Linked DNA regions of Saccharomyces cerevisiae S288C. Changing the gene in region 1 together with any one later gene gives a genetic interaction. Each region holds a gene or a part of one and is shown in the gene's direction. Other genes may lie near its edges. The genes, in order: MGR2, YLH47, MGR3 and AFG3.

Evidence for each region.
Region 2: mutations in MGR2 (region 1) and YLH47 together harm fitness more than expected from each alone (negative genetic interaction), as found in Saccharomyces cerevisiae (2 studies listed by BioGRID).
Region 3: mutations in MGR2 (region 1) and MGR3 together harm fitness more than expected from each alone (negative genetic interaction), as found in Saccharomyces cerevisiae (3 studies listed by BioGRID).
Region 4: mutations in MGR2 (region 1) and AFG3 together harm fitness more than expected from each alone (negative genetic interaction), as found in Saccharomyces cerevisiae (2 studies listed by BioGRID).

What each region holds. Positions count from the first base shown.
Region 1 is NC_001148.4:363,691-368,114, reverse strand, and holds MGR2 (Mgr2p), read left to right. Parts: upstream 1-3,387; coding exon 3,388-3,729; downstream 3,730-4,424. Other genes in the region: EEB1 (medium-chain fatty acid ethyl ester synthase/esterase), read left to right, coding at 1-44; PNG1 (peptide-N4-(N-acetyl-beta-glucosaminyl)asparagine amidase), read right to left, coding at 97-1,188; ERI1 (Eri1p), read left to right, coding at 1,380-1,586; tyrosine--tRNA ligase MSY1, read right to left, coding at 1,685-3,163; INA17 (Ina17p), read left to right, coding at 4,047-4,424. UniProt on the Saccharomyces cerevisiae protein: Required for cell viability in cells lacking mitochondrial DNA.
Region 2 is NC_001148.4:785,343-790,911, forward strand, and holds YLH47 (Ylh47p), read left to right. Parts: upstream 1-2,618; coding exon 2,619-3,983; downstream 3,984-5,569. Other genes in the region: AXL1 (Axl1p), read left to right, coding at 1-329; high-affinity Cu transporter CTR1, read left to right, coding at 866-2,086; YPR127W (pyridoxine 4-dehydrogenase), read left to right, coding at 4,741-5,569. UniProt on the Saccharomyces cerevisiae protein: Involved in mitochondrial potassium homeostasis through the mitochondrial K(+)/H(+) exchange regulation.
Region 3 is NC_001145.3:495,732-500,901, forward strand, and holds MGR3 (Mgr3p), read left to right. Parts: upstream 1-1,972; coding exon 1,973-3,478; downstream 3,479-5,170. Other genes in the region: FOL3 (dihydrofolate synthase), read left to right, coding at 1-551; YMR114C (putative peptide hydrolase), read right to left, coding at 612-1,718; 40S ribosomal protein RACK1 ASC1, read right to left, coding at 3,725-4,147, 4,421-4,957. UniProt on the Saccharomyces cerevisiae protein: Component of the mitochondrial inner membrane i-AAA protease supercomplex, which degrades misfolded mitochondrial proteins. Together with MGR1, functions in an adapter complex that targets substrates to the i-AAA protease for degradation.
Region 4 is NC_001137.3:189,003-194,091, reverse strand, and holds AFG3 (AAA family ATPase AFG3), read left to right. Parts: upstream 1-2,303; coding exon 2,304-4,589; downstream 4,590-5,089. Other genes in the region: ISC1 (inositol phosphosphingolipid phospholipase), read right to left, coding at 1-1,295; kinetochore-associated Ndc80 complex subunit SPC25, read left to right, coding at 1,468-2,133; microtubule-binding protein BIM1, read right to left, coding at 4,781-5,089. UniProt on the Saccharomyces cerevisiae protein: Catalytic component of the m-AAA protease, a protease that plays a key role in proteostasis of inner mitochondrial membrane proteins.

The sequences.
Region 1 (4,424 bases):
AAGCTGCCGAGTTCTTGGGCAGCTTTGATGAGTTAGTTTTATAAATATGTTCTTAGATAAAATTCCTTACACATAATAATCTGTTCTTTTATTTCTCTATTTACCATCCTCCCCACGCTGTGCTTTCCAATCCGCCGATCCACTTTCTCTACCACGATTAGATGATTTCGAAGCGGCACTGACGCTTTCGGATTTCGTTTCTTGTGTCTTTCCTCTAATCAGCTCTATCTGTTCCTGCTCATCGCGACATGCAAGTTGGTATATCTCGTCATCATTTAACGAATACCTCAACCTCTTCGTTATAAATTGACAAAGGAATTTTAAATCTTCTTCCTTGATTTGATCTCTGGGCAGCTCGTTTTGGAGGATATAGCGTTTACTAACGTCAACAACGCCATCTTTACCGAACGCAATACAGTAACTCATTTTCTTGTTCCAGTTAATTGAATAGATATATGGTTGGTCGAATGATTGCTCACAGGAGTCGACATGAACCCACCTATTCAAAAAATTTGAAAAATATTCACACCAAACATGATCTTCTCTATTCCAGACGTAGCGAACATCTAACCCAAACGACTTCAAAATCAAAGTAAATAAATTGCACCATTCACCGCATCTTCCCTTTCTAGTTTCCAGCAACTTAATTGGATCGTTATAACGAGGAAATCTAGTGATATTTCCGCATCGGTTGCATTTATAGATCTCAACAGTTCCGCAATTGAATTTAGATTCCTCTCCATTGGGCCCTTGACTGCCCAGAGGTGTCATATTTTCTGAAGTGTTCTGGCCACAATGATTACAATCTGGTTTATTGCACCATTTGAAAAAATCTTGTTTGAAGTAGCGAAGCAGCTCCTTTACTAGATAATCCGTGTATATATTTTCCCCCTCTGCATGCCCATCTTTGGCAAATTCCTTATCAACATTTTTATATATTAGATCCAGATCCAATGTCTCCAGGACTATAGAATGCCATGAAGGATTGTCATAGACTGTACAGAGATGTTGACTCTGACCTAGGACTCCTTGTGCGAATTGATTTGTATGGACTAAATTCTGAAACCTTATATTCTCTACAGGTGCAGCTTTCTTGAATTTAGACAGTATGAAATCCTTATACTTAATTAACAACATTTTGGCTATTGAATCAAAATCTATGTTATTTTTTTCGTATACCTCTCCCATTGCTACTCCACCTGTTACCTTCTTCAGGTTGTTTTACGTCTTCTATATCTGTTCCCAACGCATCCTTTTTTCTTCGCTACAATACAAGGAAGATTACACTACGCAAAGTTTCGAAAACATCAAGAAGCATAGAACAGTTGAAACTAGGCAACAGGACTGTTTCAATTACATGATTGAGAATTTATAAGCGCATGAGACCACGTGACCAAGGCTTTTTGGTTTTAGGGTTTACTTACTCGGTACTCCTAATTAGTCTTGCTACATTTTACTGGTTACGCAACAATGACTCTTTCCTGCACTACTGGTGTGTATTACTGCTATGCCCTGCGACTCTCTGGCTGTGGGCCCTCATAGCCTGGTGTGACAGTGAAATGTTCGCAAGTAGTAAAGATGAATAATCGTTTATAATCTTATTTACAAGTCAGTGCATAAAATGATATAATATCACCTCACGCATGCCTATTTTATACATGTACTTTATATACCTCCCTTTTTTTTAACGCATTTCTATTATAAAACACTTCTGCTTTCCTATCCTCAAGATCAGTACTCGATCATCTATCAGGAAAGGAGCCAAGTTAGAAATATTTTCGTTTACTTTAGATTTTGAATGATGCAGATACACGCTTCCCTGGGAAAGTTTTCTTCTGGCTTCTGATACTGAACAATTTACTAGTTTACAAATTAACTTTATTAAGTCAATCTCTCTATCAGCATACTGCAAAATTCTGGCTTTTTTACATAGATCAACTAACTTCGCAGCAGATAAAGTTCCGTCATAACGTCCAAAAATAATATTAGAAAGCGCTTCTGAATCCGATCCGGAGCCAACTCCATATAACATATCTGTGACTTCTTTAGCCAATAAAGTTTGGCCATAACGTAGACTGGGTGATTTGATATGCGTTTCCACAATTTTTTTGATTTCACTTGAGTTTAAAAACGTAAAGATCTTCAAGAACTTGGGTACATCAGCATCCAAAGTATTATAAAAGAACTGGTAAACATCATACGCCGTATTGATTGAGGGGTCAATAAAAACAGCATTGCCTGCACTTTTCCCAAATTTCTCTCCTGTAGCCGTCGTCAACAAGGGCACAGTGATACCAAATGGCAAACCCTTATTCTTTATAGGCTGTATCCTATTGATGAGATCGATACCGGCTGTTATATTTCCCCATTGGTCGTTACCACCTACTTGTATAGTCACATTCTCTTCCTTATACAAATGGTAAAAATCGTACGCTTGTAAAACTTGGTAAGTAAATTCGTTAAATCCCAGACCATTTTTGGTTTGAAGCCTCGAAGAAATTGAATCCCTCGCCAACATAGATTGTACCCGAATGTGCCTACCAAAATCAGCTAAGAAATCCAACATTTTGATGTCTTTCCACCAGTTGAAATTATTCCTTGGTGTATATTTTCCGGAAGGTACATCTTCAGTGAGAGCACATCGGTTTCTGTAATATTCTAGGCCATTTTTGAAAAACCTTTGTAATTGCTGCGAGATGGATGCCACATTGCTTTGCCTAATATCGTTCTCCATAACGTCTCTTTCTGTTTTCCTACCACTTGGGTCCCCAACTTTCCCTGTAGCTCCACCTATCACAGTGACAATGTCGTGACCTTTTACGTAAAAGTGTAATAAAACCATTAGTGGAACTAGATTTCCCAAATGAAGTGACTGAGCTGTGGGATCCACCCCGCAGTATAATTTGATCTTATCGTTACCGTTCAACTTCGTCCGAAGGAAACTCTCTGGCTGTGAGACCTGGGACACTAGACCCCTTTGTTTGAGTTCGTCTAAAATATTATCGCTTCGAGAATCCGATGTGCCCTGTACTTCTAAAGCACTAGGCTGTGAATAAAATCGAGATTTAGGCAATGTTATTGCACTTAGTCCGGAATAAGTCACCAGAGGCACAAGTCTCCTACTACTATTGACCAAATTACTACAACTTCGTAATTCGAGCATGATTCACAATGTCTACCTGTAGATTGCTGTGTTCAATCGGAAACTGGAAATTCTTTCTTAACATTATGAGCCAACCACTTTTTATTTTCTTTTCAAAACTCCCGAACAAGACCAACATTACCAAACAGACTCCACTACTTTTCCATAAGAAGGAAGCACAGAACACCACACAAGATCATATAGCACAAATAGCGCAACAGCTTCAAGTCCAATATTAAGATATAATGCCTCCTCTTCCACAAAATTATGCGCAACAGCAGCCTTCGAATTGGGACAAATTCAAAATGGGGTTGATGATGGGTACTACCGTCGGTGTCTGCACAGGCATCCTATTTGGTGGATTTGCCATCGCAACTCAAGGCCCAGGTCCTGATGGTGTAGTTAGAACACTAGGGAAATACATTGCTGGTTCAGCGGGTACCTTTGGGCTATTTATGTCCATCGGGTCTATAATCAGAAGTGATAGTGAAAGTAGTCCAATGTCCCATCCTAACCTGAACCTACAGCAACAGGCAAGACTGGAAATGTGGAAGCTTCGTGCCAAATACGGTATACGTAAGGACTGAGGGGGAAATTTTGCATATATTTACGCTTCCCCATCGTTTTCTTAAACATTGTTACTTATCTGCTTATTTTTATTTAAGATATCTATCTACCTGTTTATAACTCTCTCAATACCATGTATTTAAGTTCATCACGACGAGGCTTATTTACTTAATATATTTGTATACGTGGGAAATGTCTAATATGTATACCGGTTTGCATCTTATTTTGGGTGGGGTCACTAACGGCAAGACTCATAAAATAAAGTATTCGCTAAGCACTCTGTTATATTTGTAAACTTTGAGAAAGGAAATGGGAACCAAAGCATATAATAGACAATATGTTAAAAAGACGCTCTAATGCTCTCATTACTTTGAGTAGAACTAAATTGTTTCCCATAACAACCGTTGCCTATTACCACAGGCGCCTCCTCAACCAACAACGAAGAGCTGTTTCAACGTCACCGAAGAAAGAAATCAAGAGCCTAGAAGACTTGGCTAATTTGGATTCTTTGGATGGTGTTGATACTGAACTGATACGCGATTTGATTAATGAGCATACTACAAAATTAAATATCAAAAAGGAGTTAGATATGCTCAAAAAATTCTCGCAAGAGGAAGAATCAGGACATGAGATCCCTGTAAAAAGATTTATTAGGCCTCTTTGGATGTTCATTCTAATGGGATCTTCCGTTTATTTACTGCTTCACTTCTCTTGG
Region 2 (5,569 bases), 420 kb from region 1:
TTCTGAAAATAAACGGATTCGCCATAAAAAATGAAGACTTGAAGAAAATTGTCGAACATTCAAAGGGAAATCCTATTTTACTTGTAAAGAACCTTTTTACTTATTTTCGTAGGAGAAATGAAGTTTTCAAGCTCGGAACCGTTGTATTGCAGGAAATATTGAAAATCATCGGAATGAATCTTAAGCAGAGATACGGCTCTATATTAGGGTTTTCTTCCCAAGATGGTGAAGGACAAGAAATAGAAAAATTTTGGAACAACGACACAAGTCCGATTGTTCCTCTTCAGGAGCTTCCTGAACCAAACTTTTTCCGCAAGGCCGCATTTTGAACCGTATTTTGCTCGTTCCAGCCTTTCCACGTTTTTGTTATCTAAGCAACTTGGCACATTTCCCTACTATACTACAAACCGATACGTAAATACTTCCCTAAATAGCATATGAATTATTCAGTAATTTTTAAGGATCGAAACTGCACCTCAACTATTCGTTACTGTGGTTATGTTCTCATGTATTGATGCAAATCATGGGATATTTGCTCAAGACGACGGTAAAATGAGCAAAAATGGCACGATCCTGAAAAGAGCACTTTTCAAGATTCGGGCTACAAAATGCAACATAAAAAATGTTGTATTGTCATCTCGAGAGGGTCTTGTATGTTTTATTCCTCTTATGATTAGTTCACATTAGTAAAACAGATACGCAGTGTGCTCTTAATAAACAACTACTCCATAGCTTTATTTGCATAACAAAACTTTTAAGCACAAACTTAAACAGGTGGAGTAATAGTTCGGCGGCGACTCAAATTACATTTGTTGGAAGAATCGAATAGAAAATAAAAAAAAGTGTATTATATTTGACATTCAAAATGGAAGGTATGAATATGGGTAGCAGCATGAATATGGACGCCATGTCTAGTGCATCCAAGACAGTAGCATCGAGTATGGCGTCGATGAGCATGGATGCGATGTCTAGTGCCAGCAAAACGATATTATCGAGCATGTCATCGATGAGCATGGAAGCGATGTCCAGTGCGAGCAAAACGTTGGCGTCGACTATGTCGTCAATGGCAAGTATGTCGATGGGAAGCAGTTCAATGTCAGGTATGTCTATGTCGATGAGCAGTACACCAACAAGCTCCGCCAGTGCACAGACAACTTCTGATTCTAGCATGTCAGGCATGTCAGGTATGTCATCGTCTGATAACAGTAGCTCTTCAGGGATGGATATGGACATGAGTATGGGAATGAACTATTATCTGACTCCCACATATAAAAACTATCCAGTTTTGTTTCACCATTTGCATGCAAACAATAGTGGTAAGGCTTTCGGTATTTTCTTATTATTTGTTGTGGCTGCTTTCGTCTACAAACTACTGCTTTTCGTTAGTTGGTGCCTTGAAGTTCACTGGTTTAAAAAATGGGACAAGCAAAATAAATATTCCACTTTACCTTCAGCAAACTCCAAAGACGAAGGAAAACATTATGACACAGAGAATAATTTTGAAATTCAAGGTTTACCTAAGCTGCCAAATTTATTAAGCGATATATTTGTTCCATCTTTAATGGATCTCTTTCATGACATTATAAGGGCGTTCTTAGTATTTACCTCTACGATGATTATTTATATGTTGATGCTTGCTACCATGTCTTTTGTTTTAACATACGTTTTTGCTGTAATTACTGGGTTAGCTTTATCGGAAGTCTTCTTCAATAGATGCAAAATAGCCATGCTAAAGAGGTGGGACATCCAAAGAGAAATTCAGAAAGCGAAGAGCTGTCCTGGCTTCGGTAACTGCCAATGTGGTAGACATCCCGAACCCAGCCCTGATCCAATTGCTGTTGCCGATACCACTTCCGGAAGTGATCAAAGTACTCGCCTGGAAAAGAACAACGAATCTAAAGTTGCGATTTCCGAAAATAATCAAAAGAAAACACCTACACAAGAAGAGGGATGTAATTGTGCCACAGACTCAGGAAAGAATCAAGCAAACATAGAGCGCGACATCCTTGAGAATTCCAAGTTGCAGGAACAGTCCGGGAATATGGATCAAAACTTACTTCCGGCCGAAAAATTCACTCATAACTAATAACTAGACAAGGTTCGTCCACCTATATCTTCTTCTTCCAATATCTCTATACATCAAAATAAGAATATCGTTCATTTCTCAGAAGCTCAAAAAAAATCTCAAAATGGATACTTCTAATGCCCTCATGAAGAGGAAAGAAAATAATAGACACAGCGACCTTCCTATAAATAACAGACTTGTATATAGTTGAATGTCTAAGTAATTTTAATTCAAAAATCCTTAACTATATTACCACCTTGCAATAATAAGAGTGAAGTGTTAAAAATGATACTTGCTTGCCTTCATCGAGTTACCGTTGTCTCCCACGTTTCTTTTTTCTCGTTGGACAGAATTGCTTCCGCGCGAACATTTTCCACTTTTATTTGAAAGAGGACATTATTCAGATCGTGTCAGTCTCATCTAATTGGCAAAGTGGCAATTTTCGAAATAACAAGATAACTGCATAAAGTAACACTTGTCGAATTGAAAGTATTTTGCCAGTGATATTTAGGTTCGAGTAAAGAAAATTTCATAAAGAAATCAACAAGACACAATGCTGAAATACAGGTCTTTGCCAATCAAGAGAGCAATCCATCATCCGGCACCAGGAATTACTCCAATTTCTCCCCGTATTATGGTAAGCAGGTTGAGAGTAATACCATCTTTTAATTTGAAGTTCAATCGTTGGAACTCTTCGGTGCCAGAAAGCTCGAAAAAGGAGTTAAAAACGACAGACGGAAACCAAGAAAGTGCGAGTAAGGTCTCTCCAGTAAAAGAGAAGGAAAAAGTACCCTTTAAGGTTAAGATGCAAAAAGCCCTTCGTCATTATTGGGATGGTTCCAAACTTTTGGGGTTGGAGATAAAAATTTCTTCCAAATTGCTCATGAAGAGTGCTGCAGGCTACCCATTGACGAGAAGAGAAAATTTACAACTGAAAAGAACTACTCAAGATATCGTTCGGTTGGTTCCATTTGCTGCTTTCCTCATTATACCCTTTGCTGAACTTCTTCTTCCATTTGCATTAAAGTTATTCCCCAATTTACTTCCTTCTACTTATGAATCAAGTAAAAAACGCGAGAATAAACTAGAAAATTTAAGAAACACAAGGAAGTTAATGTCTGAAATCATAAAGAATAACAAGTCCCATTTTAAACCTAATAATATTTCCGAGGAACAAAAAGCTTTGTTTAACAGGTTCTACACACATGTCCGTGCTACAGGAGTGCCGGAGTCTCGTCAACAGCTAATCGAAGTAGCTAGATTATTCACTGATGATACTGTATTGGATAATGTGACAAGACCTTACTTGATTGCATTAGCGAAGTATATGAATTTGCAACCATTCGGCACTGATGTGATGCTACGTTACCGTATCAGATACAAAATGCTTGAATTGAAAAAAGATGATCTATCTATATATTACGAGGATGCAGAACAACTCTCCCTCTCTGAATTGAAAACAGCATGCGCCTCCAGAGGTATTAGAAGTGTAGACGTAGAGCCTAGCGTGTTATATTCGAATCTAAGATTGTGGCTGAACATGAGGCTCAAGGATAAGATCCCATCCACGCTGTTAATCATGGCTACTGCCTATAACTACGGTAATGTGCAATCAAAGGAGTCATTGTACGACGCATTATGTGACGTTTTAATCGGTATCCCTGATGAACTATACCATGAGGTTAAAGTAAACGTCGTTAAGGAAGATGAGGCATCCGCTAAGCAAAAATTGAAACAATTGAGGGAGCAAGAAGAAATTATGAAGGAAGAAGAGCAGCAAGAAGAGAACGCCATTGTGAGCGTCAAGGATGAGTTGAGCTTGGACGACCAAGACAAGAACATAGATGCGGCTGCTCCAGACGTAAAACCGCATGACACCAAGCCTATCGGAGAAGCCGCTGCCATCAAAGAGAAGTAACCCAGTTTTCACCTGGCCCATTAAACCGCACGATACACTCTCCGCTACTCTCGCCAACATTCTTTTTATACATACTTGCACGAAACTGCTTTTTTAGCAATGAAAAGAAAATGTAGTGAACTCTACTATAGATTTTGTACATAAGATAAATAAAATACACTACTATATGAAATTTTTGTTTGTAAAGCTGGTGTTTGCACACATAGATAGTATCAACGTAGGGGATCAACACATGCACGACTACTAGAAGCCTTACCCGTAACTTCTTGCATATCTGCTTTGCCAATATTTTTTTTTAAAGTTATTTCTTAAACTACTCCTCGTGCTGTCCACATTTTTACCCGTTAGTTGTTAGACAAAAAAAAAGCGCAACTATCTCCCTTTTGCGCATCTCCCAAGTCCTTTACCAAATATATTAGAAGAATGACACCCGGCCGAGACGGATGAAGCGGCCGTCTCGGCCGCCTTAGGAAGGGATCTGCGTTTTTGTTCGTTAATGAGGTAATCAAGGGCGTACTTGGTAGAACGGTACTAAGTTAATCATTGCTGCTCTCCCTCAAAATTACTCAAAGAATAGAGTGTCTATTGAACCGTAGAATAGGCATTTATTATATAAGGGGTTGTCAATTTACCAAATTTTTTACTTCATCTCAGGACTCTCTCTTAAAATTATTTTCCTTGCCATTTTCTATGTTATGTAGAATAGAAAAACAGGTACATATTAACTAAAATATACACCAAAAAAAGTAAAAATAAAATGTCTGTCGCCGATTTGAAAAACAACATCCACAAGTTAGATACTGGCTATGGTTTAATGAGTTTGACTTGGAGAGCCGAGCCTATCCCTCAGTCGCAGGCTTTCGAGGCCATGCACAGAGTGGTTGAGTTATCCAGAGAACGTGGGCACAAGGCCTTTTTCAACGTTGGTGAATTCTATGGTCCCGATTTTATTAATTTGTCGTATGTTCACGACTTCTTTGCGAAATACCCAGATTTGAGAAAGGATGTGGTTATCAGTTGTAAAGGTGGTGCAGACAATGCTACCTTAACCCCCAGAGGCAGTCACGATGATGTTGTACAAAGCGTAAAGAATTCAGTTAGTGCTATTGGTGGCTACATCGACATCTTCGAAGTCGCAAGAATCGACACTTCCCTATGCACGAAAGGAGAGGTCTACCCCTACGAATCGTTCGAAGCGCTTGCTGAGATGATCTCCGAAGGCGTTATTGGCGGTATTTCATTAAGTGAAGTTAATGAAGAGCAAATTAGAGCTATTCACAAGGATTGGGGAAAGTTTTTGACCTGCGTTGAAGTGGAACTTTCTTTGTTCAGTAATGACATTTTACACAACGGAATTGCTAAAACATGTGCTGAATTGGGGTTGTCCATCATCTGCTACTCCCCACTGGGCAGAGGATTGTTGACAGGTCAATTGAAGTCAAACGCTGATATCCCTGAGGGTGACTTTAGAAAGTCGTTAAAGAGATTTAGCGACGAGTCTTTGAAAAAAAACCTGACCTTGGTCAGGTTTCTACAGGAAGAAATAGTCGACAAGCGCCCACAAAACAACTCCATTACTCTTGCAC
Region 3 (5,170 bases), on another chromosome or scaffold:
GTATGTTAGACTACTTACAAATGAACGAACTTATTGATATTACCAAGAATGAAGTAAGTACGAGATTGGCGAAGGTTGATTGGCCAGGAAGGTTATATCGTATGGATTATCGCTTTGACAAAGTAAGTAATAGGACAGTGCCTATATTAATGGACGGTGCCCACAATGGCTCAGCTGCAGTAGAGTTAGTTAAGTACCTAAGAAAGGAGTACGGAAACCAGCCTTTGACCTTTGTGATGGCAGTAACGCATGGGAAAAACTTGGAGCCGCTGCTCCAGCCATTATTGAGGCCTATAGATCAAGTAATTCTTACTCGGTTTAATAATGTGGAAGGTATGCCCTGGATTCATGCCACTGATCCTGAAGAAATAAAAGATTTTATTTTGACTCAAGGATACACAAAGGAGATAGTGATTGAAAATGATTTACATCAGGTATTGCCTTCTCTGGCGCATGTATCAGACGAGCAAAGACGGCCAATTGTTGTATGCGGTTCACTGTATTTATGTGGTGAATTATTACGGATTCACAATAGTCACTTGAGAAACTAAATAAAATAAGTAACAACGAACATTATATAGACTATCGATGATAAACAAACTAAAAAAATGTCATTTTTTTATTTTTTTCTTGCCTCTGGAGTCTTTCTGGTTTCCCAACATATTTACTATATTTCTCTTCTCTCTGTTTCCCTCTCTTTTGGGTGACAAATTAGCTTCTTCTCTCTTCACTCGGTCACCTATACTTCCTTCCTCTGGTAAAGTTGTTTCCTCTTGTTCTTCATTCTTTTTTAATCCATCATAGGAATTCCTTTTGAGGCTTTTCTTTTGATTAAAAACATCTTCGCCTTTCAACGATTTGTCACCCTTTACACCTCGATTATCAATACCTTGTTCGTTATCATTTTCTAGCAAGGCTTCTTCTTTTTCTCTCTTTACGCTGAACATGTCCGAATCCTCTTTCAAAAGCGGTTTTATCAGCCGCTCTCCGGTGTTGGTAGTCTTCCCCACATCATCGGTAACTTGATAGAATTGTAACTTTGATTCATCGTAGTCCGGCTTCAGCAGCTTTACCAGTTCTTCAGTGCTCCATGTCGTTTTATCCACATCCATCCATGCATCCCAACTTTCGGTGCCTGGTTCCAGCACGCAAGGCATTCTTTCGTGGAGCCATTCTAACTCTCTGGGGCCTTGTGCAGTTATTATGGTGAACGTATATAAATCATCCTTTTCGACGTAATCATACATTCCTGCTACAAACATCAATCTGCCGTCTCGTCTAGAAATGAAATAAGGCGTCTTCTTTTTCCCTACGGTTTTCCATTCAAAATATCCGCTCATAAGCACAGCACACCTTTTCTTCTCACAGGGTCTCATCCACATTTTGCTCTCTTGTAAATTCTCTAAACGGGCATTAAAGGTACGATAGGTCTTGAATTGTGAAACGTCCTTGGTCCAGAATGGTACAAGGCCCCATCTCATAAATTGTATTGCTTTAGTATCAGGACGATATACCGCAGAGTAGTTTGTAGGGGAAATATTGTAAGAGGCCTTGAAGATATCCTTACTAACGGTAGGCTGATCTTTGGTGTCTTCCTCGTCATGTGGATGCTGGCTGTTCGATGAGGCGTCCTTGGGTGTATTAACCGGTAAGTTCCAATCTCTTAGAAGTTGCGGCAAATCTCCGCTATCGTAAGCTAAGGCAAACCTACCACACATCTTGGGTTATGAAAGTCTGGTATTAGCATCAGGTATACTTTAATTAAGTCTCTTGGTTCAACTGTTCATTGCTTTGTTCCCTTTTTTGATCCCTTTCATTCAGATATTTTTCGTGGGGGTTCGGCCTCACAAAATTGCATTTACAAATCATCAACATTTTTATGCAAAAGTGGGCTACTTTCATTTACTCACAAAGGTGTAAACACAAGCAGGAAGATCTCAGTTTAACAGGCTAAAAGTCCCTCCTTTTCGGTATGCTTTTACAAGGAATGCGTTTATCGCAAAGGTTACATAAGAGACATCTATTTGCTTCCAAGATTTTAACGTGGACTACGAACCCTGCTCATATACGCCACCTACATGATATAAGGCCGCCTGCATCAAACTTCAATACGCAAGAATCGGCCCCCATACCGGAGTCTCCAGCAAACTCACCAACTCGACCACAGATGGCACCTAAACCCAATTTGAAAAAAAAAAATCGTAGTTTAATGTATTCTATTATTGGGGTTTCCATAGTAGGTTTATATTTTTGGTTTAAAAGTAACTCCAGGAAACAAAAACTACCTCTTTCGGCGCAAAAAGTCTGGAAGGAAGCCATATGGCAAGAAAGTGATAAAATGGATTTTAATTACAAAGAAGCGTTAAGGCGGTATATTGAGGCGTTGGATGAATGCGATCGCTCTCATGTCGATTTATTGTCAGATGATTATACCAGAATAGAGCTGAAAATTGCTGAAATGTATGAAAAGCTCAATATGCTTGAAGAAGCCCAAAATTTGTACCAAGAATTATTAAGTCGGTTTTTCGAAGCGCTGAATGTTCCTGGCAAAGTTGATGAGAGTGAAAGAGGCGAGGTTTTAAGAAAAGACTTGAGAATCTTGATTAAATCGTTAGAAATCAATAAGGACATAGAAAGTGGCAAGAGAAAATTGCTACAACATTTACTTTTAGCTCAAGAGGAAATTTTAAGCAAATCGCCAGAGTTGAAGGAATTTTTTGAAAACAGAAAAAAGAAGCTCTCGATGGTAAAAGACATCAATAGAGACCCTAATGATGATTTTAAAACATTTGTTAGTGAGGAAAATATTAAGTTTGATGAGCAAGGCTATATGATTTTGGATCTGGAAAAGAATAGCAGCGCTTGGGAACCCTTTAAGGAAGAATTTTTTACTGCGAGAGATTTATATACAGCTTATTGTCTGTCATCAAAAGACATAGCTGCAGCTCTAAGTTGCAAGATAACTAGTGTGGAATGGATGGTTATGGCAGACATGCCACCAGGACAGATATTGCTATCACAGGCAAATTTGGGGTCATTGTTCTATCTTCAAGCAGAAAAGCTAGAAGCTGACTTAAATCAATTAGAGCAAAAGAAAAGTAAAGAGTCCAACCAAGAGTTAGATATGGGAACATACATAAAAGCCGTTAGATTCGTACGCAAAAATCGTGACTTATGTCTGGAAAGAGCACAAAAATGTTACGACAGCGTTATTGCGTTTGCCAAAAGAAACAGAAAAATTAGGTTTCATGTGAAGGATCAACTGGATCCTTCAATTGCACAGTCAATTGCTCTATCTACCTATGGAATGGGGGTTTTAAGCCTTCATGAAGGTGTTTTGGCTAAAGCTGAAAAACTATTCAAAGATTCGATCACTATGGCCAAGGAGACTGAATTTAATGAACTCCTTGCAGAAGCTGAAAAGGAACTAGAAAAGACGACAGTCTTGAAAGCGGCCAAAAAAGAGGGTTTAAACTAATACCACAATAAAGGAAATAAAGGAAGACAAAAATAATAAATATTTCAACTGTACATATGTATTTTCGCAGCAAACAGAAAGCATAGTTTATAGTACCTAATGATAACCTTTCTTTCATTACTTCGAAATCTATGACGATTATATTATACACTAAAATATAGAAATTATTTTCTTTATTTTTACCATTTTAAACATGACCAATAACTAGAAGATACATAAAAGAACAAATGAACTTTATACATATTCTTAGTTAGCAGTCATAACTTGCCAAACTCTAATGACGTTGTCGGTGTAACCGGCAAACAAAGTTTGACCGTCAGCAGACCAAGCCAAAGAAACAGCATGTGGTTCAGCGGCCTTGCTGTAACCAGCAAATTCTGGTCTCAAGTCATCGACCAAGTATTGTGGGTCCAAAGAAAAGACCTTAATACCGGTAGCAGTGGCAGCAGCCAACCAGTATCTGTTTGGAGAGAAAGCCAAAGAGAAAACTTCATCTTGGGCAGACAAAGTGTACATAGCCTTCTTAGCAGCCAAGTTCCACAACATAATTTCACCGTCCTTACCAGCGGAAGCAATCAAAGTTCCGTCTGGGGAAGCAGTCAAAGTGTTGATGTTGGAGTTGTGACCGATGAAGTCAGCTTCAATTTGGAATTGGTTTAAGTTCCAAGCCTGTCATTATATCATTTTTGTTAGTAAGGGAACAAAATTAATTTAAAAAAAAAGTTTCCATTTTGACATAACGAGTAAAGAGAAGAGCAGAGTAATGCTAAACCATTCATCAGAGATCTTGGTGATAATTGGTATGTCTCATTCGGAACTCAAAGTTCCATCTGAAGTAGCAAATATGTTATTACATCATTTGAATGGCATACACAAATCCACTTTTCTTCTTCTACTCGATTGTCATCATATTCTATCATGGAAAGAAAATATATCACATACCTTAACCATTTTGTCGTTACCGGCAGAAATGATGGTGACAGAGTCATCATCAGCTTTTTCGTTTGGAACAACTCTGACTTGGGAAACCCAGTCATTGTGACCCAACAAAGTGGCCAAACATTGACCTTTGATGGTCCAGACCTTGATGGTCTTGTCACGGGAACCAGAGATAATCATGGAAGCCTTCTTGTCAATGTCAACGGACATAACATCGGACTTGTGACCGACGAATCTTTGGTAGGTTTCACCGGTGGCAACATCCCATAATCTCAAGGTCTTGTCCCAAGAAGCAGACAAAGCGTAAGCACCGTCAGCAGTCAAAGTACAGTCTTGGACAATGTGACTGTGACCCTTGAAAGATCTAACTGGGACACCAAACTTTTGGTCGTCACCAGTCAACTTCCAGGAGATCAAAGTCTTATCACGGGAAGCGGACAACAATAGGTTTGGTTGACCAGCAGAAGTAGCCAAAGATGTGACCCAACCGTTGTGACCTTCCAAGGTACCTCTCAAAACTAAAACTTCGTTAGATGCCATTTTTCACTTTATTTACTTTAGTGTGTTATAAGGATTTTTTGGAAAAAAAAAAGAGAGAGAGAACGAGTTAGGAAAACCAAAGGAGCAGTCTTAAATATAGGAAAATTTTCAAGTTGTAGAAAATCCACAATTAAAGGAATAGCCCAATGCCAAAAAAATTGGTCTTACACATCCAAAAAAAAGTTGCGTGGATGAAATTTTTTTCAACAAACG
Region 4 (5,089 bases), on another chromosome or scaffold:
ATAGCGAAAAGGACCCAGAAGATGGAGGACCAGCCTGCCTTGTTTGCAGTAAACGTTGTCACGACCAACGACGCTATTAGGAGAAGTATTGAGGCCCAGAAATGTAGGCCACGGAAAAATTTCTGTCTTTGGGCTGTCTTCAAGTACGTGTGGATGCATTCTATCATGGTTTCGTAGTTGGAGTATCTCTGCAAGATCAGCTCTCTATCATGAGTCTTCGCACGCTTAACGGAGGTGGATGGACGGGACTCTGTGCCCTGTGGGACGATGTTAAGGGTGCATGAGTATGCAAAATGGTCAGAGACACTGCAGTCCAGGTGAGGGATCCGTTCAGTGAACCTGACACCTGCGTCTACTGTTTGCAAGAAATCAGGGTCGATAAGAGCATAATCCAACCTGCATGCCTCATCGGGTTGTCTTTGGGCCCTCCATGTGTTGAGCAGCGAATCGCACGTGGTACAGCCCTTAAGCAATTGTTGCAATGGAGACAGACGAGCGATCACCGCCAAGTCTTGCTTCCCATGCAATTGCTCCCAGGAGTCGACCAGGCCGGCCTCCTGCGTGAGAAATTTGTGGGGCAGTGAGCCCGGTCTGGAGTTTAAGTCACCCACCACAATCACCGCATAACCGGCCTGCCTGTAAAGCTTAATGAGCCTGCTGAAATCCCAGGCCTGACAAGATCTGTGGCACAAGTAGGCGGCATCACCCTGCTTGGCGTATGGGGCGTGCATGTGACTGTTCATTATTGCAATGGGGCGGGTTCCTGTGTTCAATACGGTGATTGCTATAGATTTCCCTACGTACCAGTCGCCACGGAACACCGCACTCGGTCTACCGTTTATCGGGAACCGGTAAAGAAAGGTCGACTCTATCGGGACCTTGGACAGTATGGCCAACCCAGGCCCCGTCAGAATACCAGAATGGAACAAACGCTGATACGGATACTTGGAGGCACACGCAGAAGCTAGATACTTCCAGTCTTCCACACACCAGATTTCTTGTAAGGCAATCACGTCGTAATCTTCGTTTTCATTACTATCTCCACCATTGGGCAACAACTCGTCAGATATTGGCGTAAGCATTGAGTGGCCCGCCAATTTATCAGCAATTGCTCTGAGTCTTTCTTTACGGTGTTTGGAGACGTATTTTAACCCCCATGTATTGAAGGTCAGAAACTTTATGGAATACGCTTTACTATTATCGGACATAATTGCGTTGGTCCCGTTCAGTGCTTCAAACTCAGATTGACCATCTTCCTTCCTCTCGTGAACATCTCTGTCTTTTCTGTTGTACATATATCTGCTTTTTTTCCCTTTTTACGCGGAAAGCGCAAATTTCCTCGAAGATTTAAGCCAAACCAAAATAAATCAAACCAAACCAAAACAAAACAAAAACAAAAACAAAAACAGGCTAAGCCGATTCAATTAAAACCGCTCATACGTATACAACACATACACACATACAAGAATGGCCAGCATAGACGCATTTTCGGACCTTGAGCGCCGGATGGACGGGTTCCAAAAGGACGTGGCCCAGGTACTGGCACGTCAGCAAAACCACGCGCGCCAACAGCTGCAACAGTTCCAAGCGGAAATGCGTCAATTACATAACCAACACCAACATCTCATAGATGAACTGCAACGGCTTGCCACCCAGCGCACCGCTCTGCAGCAACAAATACATGCGGCCCAACAAGCTACAAATACCACCAGAGAGCAGTGGAGAAGCTATCACGAGCGTGAATCTGAGTTATCTAGACGGCAGTCGACCTTAGCAGCCCAATCGCGCGAGCTGGACTCGCTGCTGCAACAGCGTGGTAAAGAGTGTGTCCAATTACGCGCACGTTGGGCTGCGCAGTCGGGTAACGATGCCGCAGAGGTCGCACTGTACGAACGGCTGTTGCAGCTTCGTGTACTACCCGGAGCCAGCGATGTGCATGACGTACGTTTCGTATTCGGCGATGATTCACGCTGCTGGATCGAAGTCGCGATGCACGGAGACCACGTGATCGGAAACTCTCACCCGGCGCTGGACCCCAAGAGTCGGGCAACACTTGAGCACGTGCTTACCGTCCAGGGCGACCTCGCGGCATTTTTAGTCGTGGCCCGCGATATGCTTCTGGCATCTTTATAACGCCTTTATACGCATCTGTTCAGTTTATTCTGGGCCTATGATTTAGATGAGGAATAAATTGGTTCTTACTGTCTATACATAACTTTTACAAGGACCCATTCTATATTAAAGGAGATTAACGCAGTCTTCAAATAAAGGCATCATCCACTTATTTTATAATATACTAAGTGATGATGATGTGGCAACGATATGCAAGGGGTGCGCCACGCTCATTGACATCACTCTCATTTGGTAAAGCTAGCCGCATATCAACAGTGAAGCCAGTGCTTCGCTCGCGCATGCCAGTTCACCAGCGTTTGCAGACGTTATCTGGTCTGGCAACCAGAAACACAATACACCGTTCTACCCAAATACGTTCCTTCCATATCTCATGGACAAGGTTAAATGAAAATAGGCCAAACAAAGAGGGTGAGGGCAAGAACAATGGTAATAAAGATAATAATAGCAATAAAGAAGATGGCAAAGACAAAAGAAATGAGTTTGGTTCATTATCAGAATACTTCAGATCTAAGGAATTTGCTAATACGATGTTTTTGACCATCGGATTCACAATTATATTTACTTTGCTCACACCTTCCAGTAACAACTCAGGAGACGACTCTAACCGCGTCTTGACTTTCCAGGATTTCAAAACAAAATACCTGGAGAAGGGTCTTGTGTCCAAGATTTACGTCGTTAATAAGTTTCTCGTAGAGGCCGAATTAGTCAATACAAAGCAAGTTGTATCGTTCACCATTGGTTCAGTAGATATTTTTGAGGAACAGATGGACCAGATCCAGGACCTCTTGAACATTCCTCCTCGGGATCGTATCCCCATCAAATACATTGAGAGATCTTCTCCCTTCACATTTTTGTTCCCCTTCCTGCCCACCATCATTCTGCTTGGTGGCCTTTACTTCATAACCAGAAAAATAAATAGTTCACCACCAAATGCCAATGGTGGTGGTGGAGGAGGCCTCGGCGGCATGTTTAATGTTGGAAAATCCAGAGCAAAGCTCTTCAATAAGGAAACAGACATTAAAATTTCATTTAAAAATGTTGCCGGTTGTGATGAAGCTAAACAGGAAATCATGGAATTTGTTCACTTTTTGAAGAACCCAGGTAAGTACACTAAATTGGGTGCCAAGATTCCACGAGGCGCTATTCTTTCTGGACCCCCAGGTACCGGTAAGACTCTCTTGGCCAAGGCCACCGCAGGTGAGGCGAACGTGCCCTTCTTGTCAGTATCAGGTTCTGAGTTCGTCGAAATGTTCGTTGGGGTGGGTGCTTCACGTGTAAGAGACTTGTTTACTCAAGCAAGGTCTATGGCCCCCTCGATTATCTTTATAGATGAAATTGACGCTATCGGTAAAGAAAGAGGCAAAGGCGGCGCTCTCGGTGGCGCTAACGATGAAAGAGAAGCTACGCTGAATCAATTATTGGTGGAAATGGACGGATTCACTACTTCCGACCAAGTCGTAGTCCTTGCGGGTACAAATAGGCCCGATGTGTTGGATAATGCTTTGATGAGACCGGGAAGGTTCGATAGACATATCCAAATTGATTCTCCTGATGTCAATGGTAGGCAGCAAATATACCTGGTTCACTTGAAAAGACTGAATCTGGATCCCCTTCTTACAGATGATATGAATAATCTTTCTGGGAAATTGGCTACGCTTACTCCAGGTTTTACTGGTGCAGATATCGCTAATGCTTGTAATGAGGCTGCATTAATCGCTGCCAGACATAATGACCCATATATCACTATCCATCACTTTGAGCAAGCCATTGAAAGAGTCATTGCGGGACTAGAGAAGAAAACAAGAGTCCTTTCTAAGGAAGAAAAAAGGTCAGTGGCCTATCATGAGGCAGGACATGCCGTTTGTGGTTGGTTTCTAAAATATGCGGATCCACTTCTGAAAGTAAGCATCATCCCGCGTGGACAAGGTGCTTTAGGCTATGCCCAGTACCTACCACCGGATCAATATTTGATATCTGAGGAGCAATTCAGACATAGAATGATCATGGCTCTTGGTGGCCGTGTTTCTGAGGAGCTACATTTTCCATCGGTGACTAGCGGTGCTCATGATGATTTCAAAAAGGTTACACAGATGGCAAATGCCATGGTTACATCCCTAGGAATGTCACCCAAGATTGGCTACCTGTCGTTTGATCAGAATGATGGAAACTTCAAAGTTAACAAACCCTTCAGTAATAAAACGGCAAGAACCATTGATTTAGAAGTTAAATCTATAGTAGATGATGCACACCGAGCTTGTACAGAATTGCTAACCAAAAATTTGGACAAAGTCGATCTTGTCGCAAAAGAATTGCTACGTAAGGAAGCAATTACTAGAGAAGACATGATTAGATTATTGGGTCCAAGGCCATTCAAGGAAAGGAACGAGGCTTTTGAAAAATATTTGGATCCAAAGAGCAATACCGAACCGCCTGAGGCACCTGCAGCAACAAATTAAAGGGGAAATAAAACGGTGGCTTCTTCATCTCACTTTATATCTTTACCTGATCCCCCTTCCAGGATCCTATCTTATTTTCTCATTCTTTTAGTAATAATATACATGTATATATATATATTGATAACGAGTAATAAAAAAAATAAAAAAAAATAATACATATTCGAAAACAATACTGCTTTTTAGTTCTCAACTTAAAAAGTTTCCTCGTCGATGATCAAGTTGTTGCTCACGCCAACCTCACCTTCGTCGTTCTGCATTATCACATCATGGTTACTACCTTCGTTACCATTGACCTCGCCATTGCTGTTCGCATAGCCGCCCTGATTCGGCACAGTTCCATGTTCACCCAGATTTTTATCATTCAATTCATCCTCACCATCATTCATTTCAAATCCTTCTGCAGTAGCATATAAAATACTTTCCACCTTCTTGACGAACCGTAATAATGCTCCCCCATTTCCATTACCATGGCCGGTGATGGTCTCATCATTAAATTTATA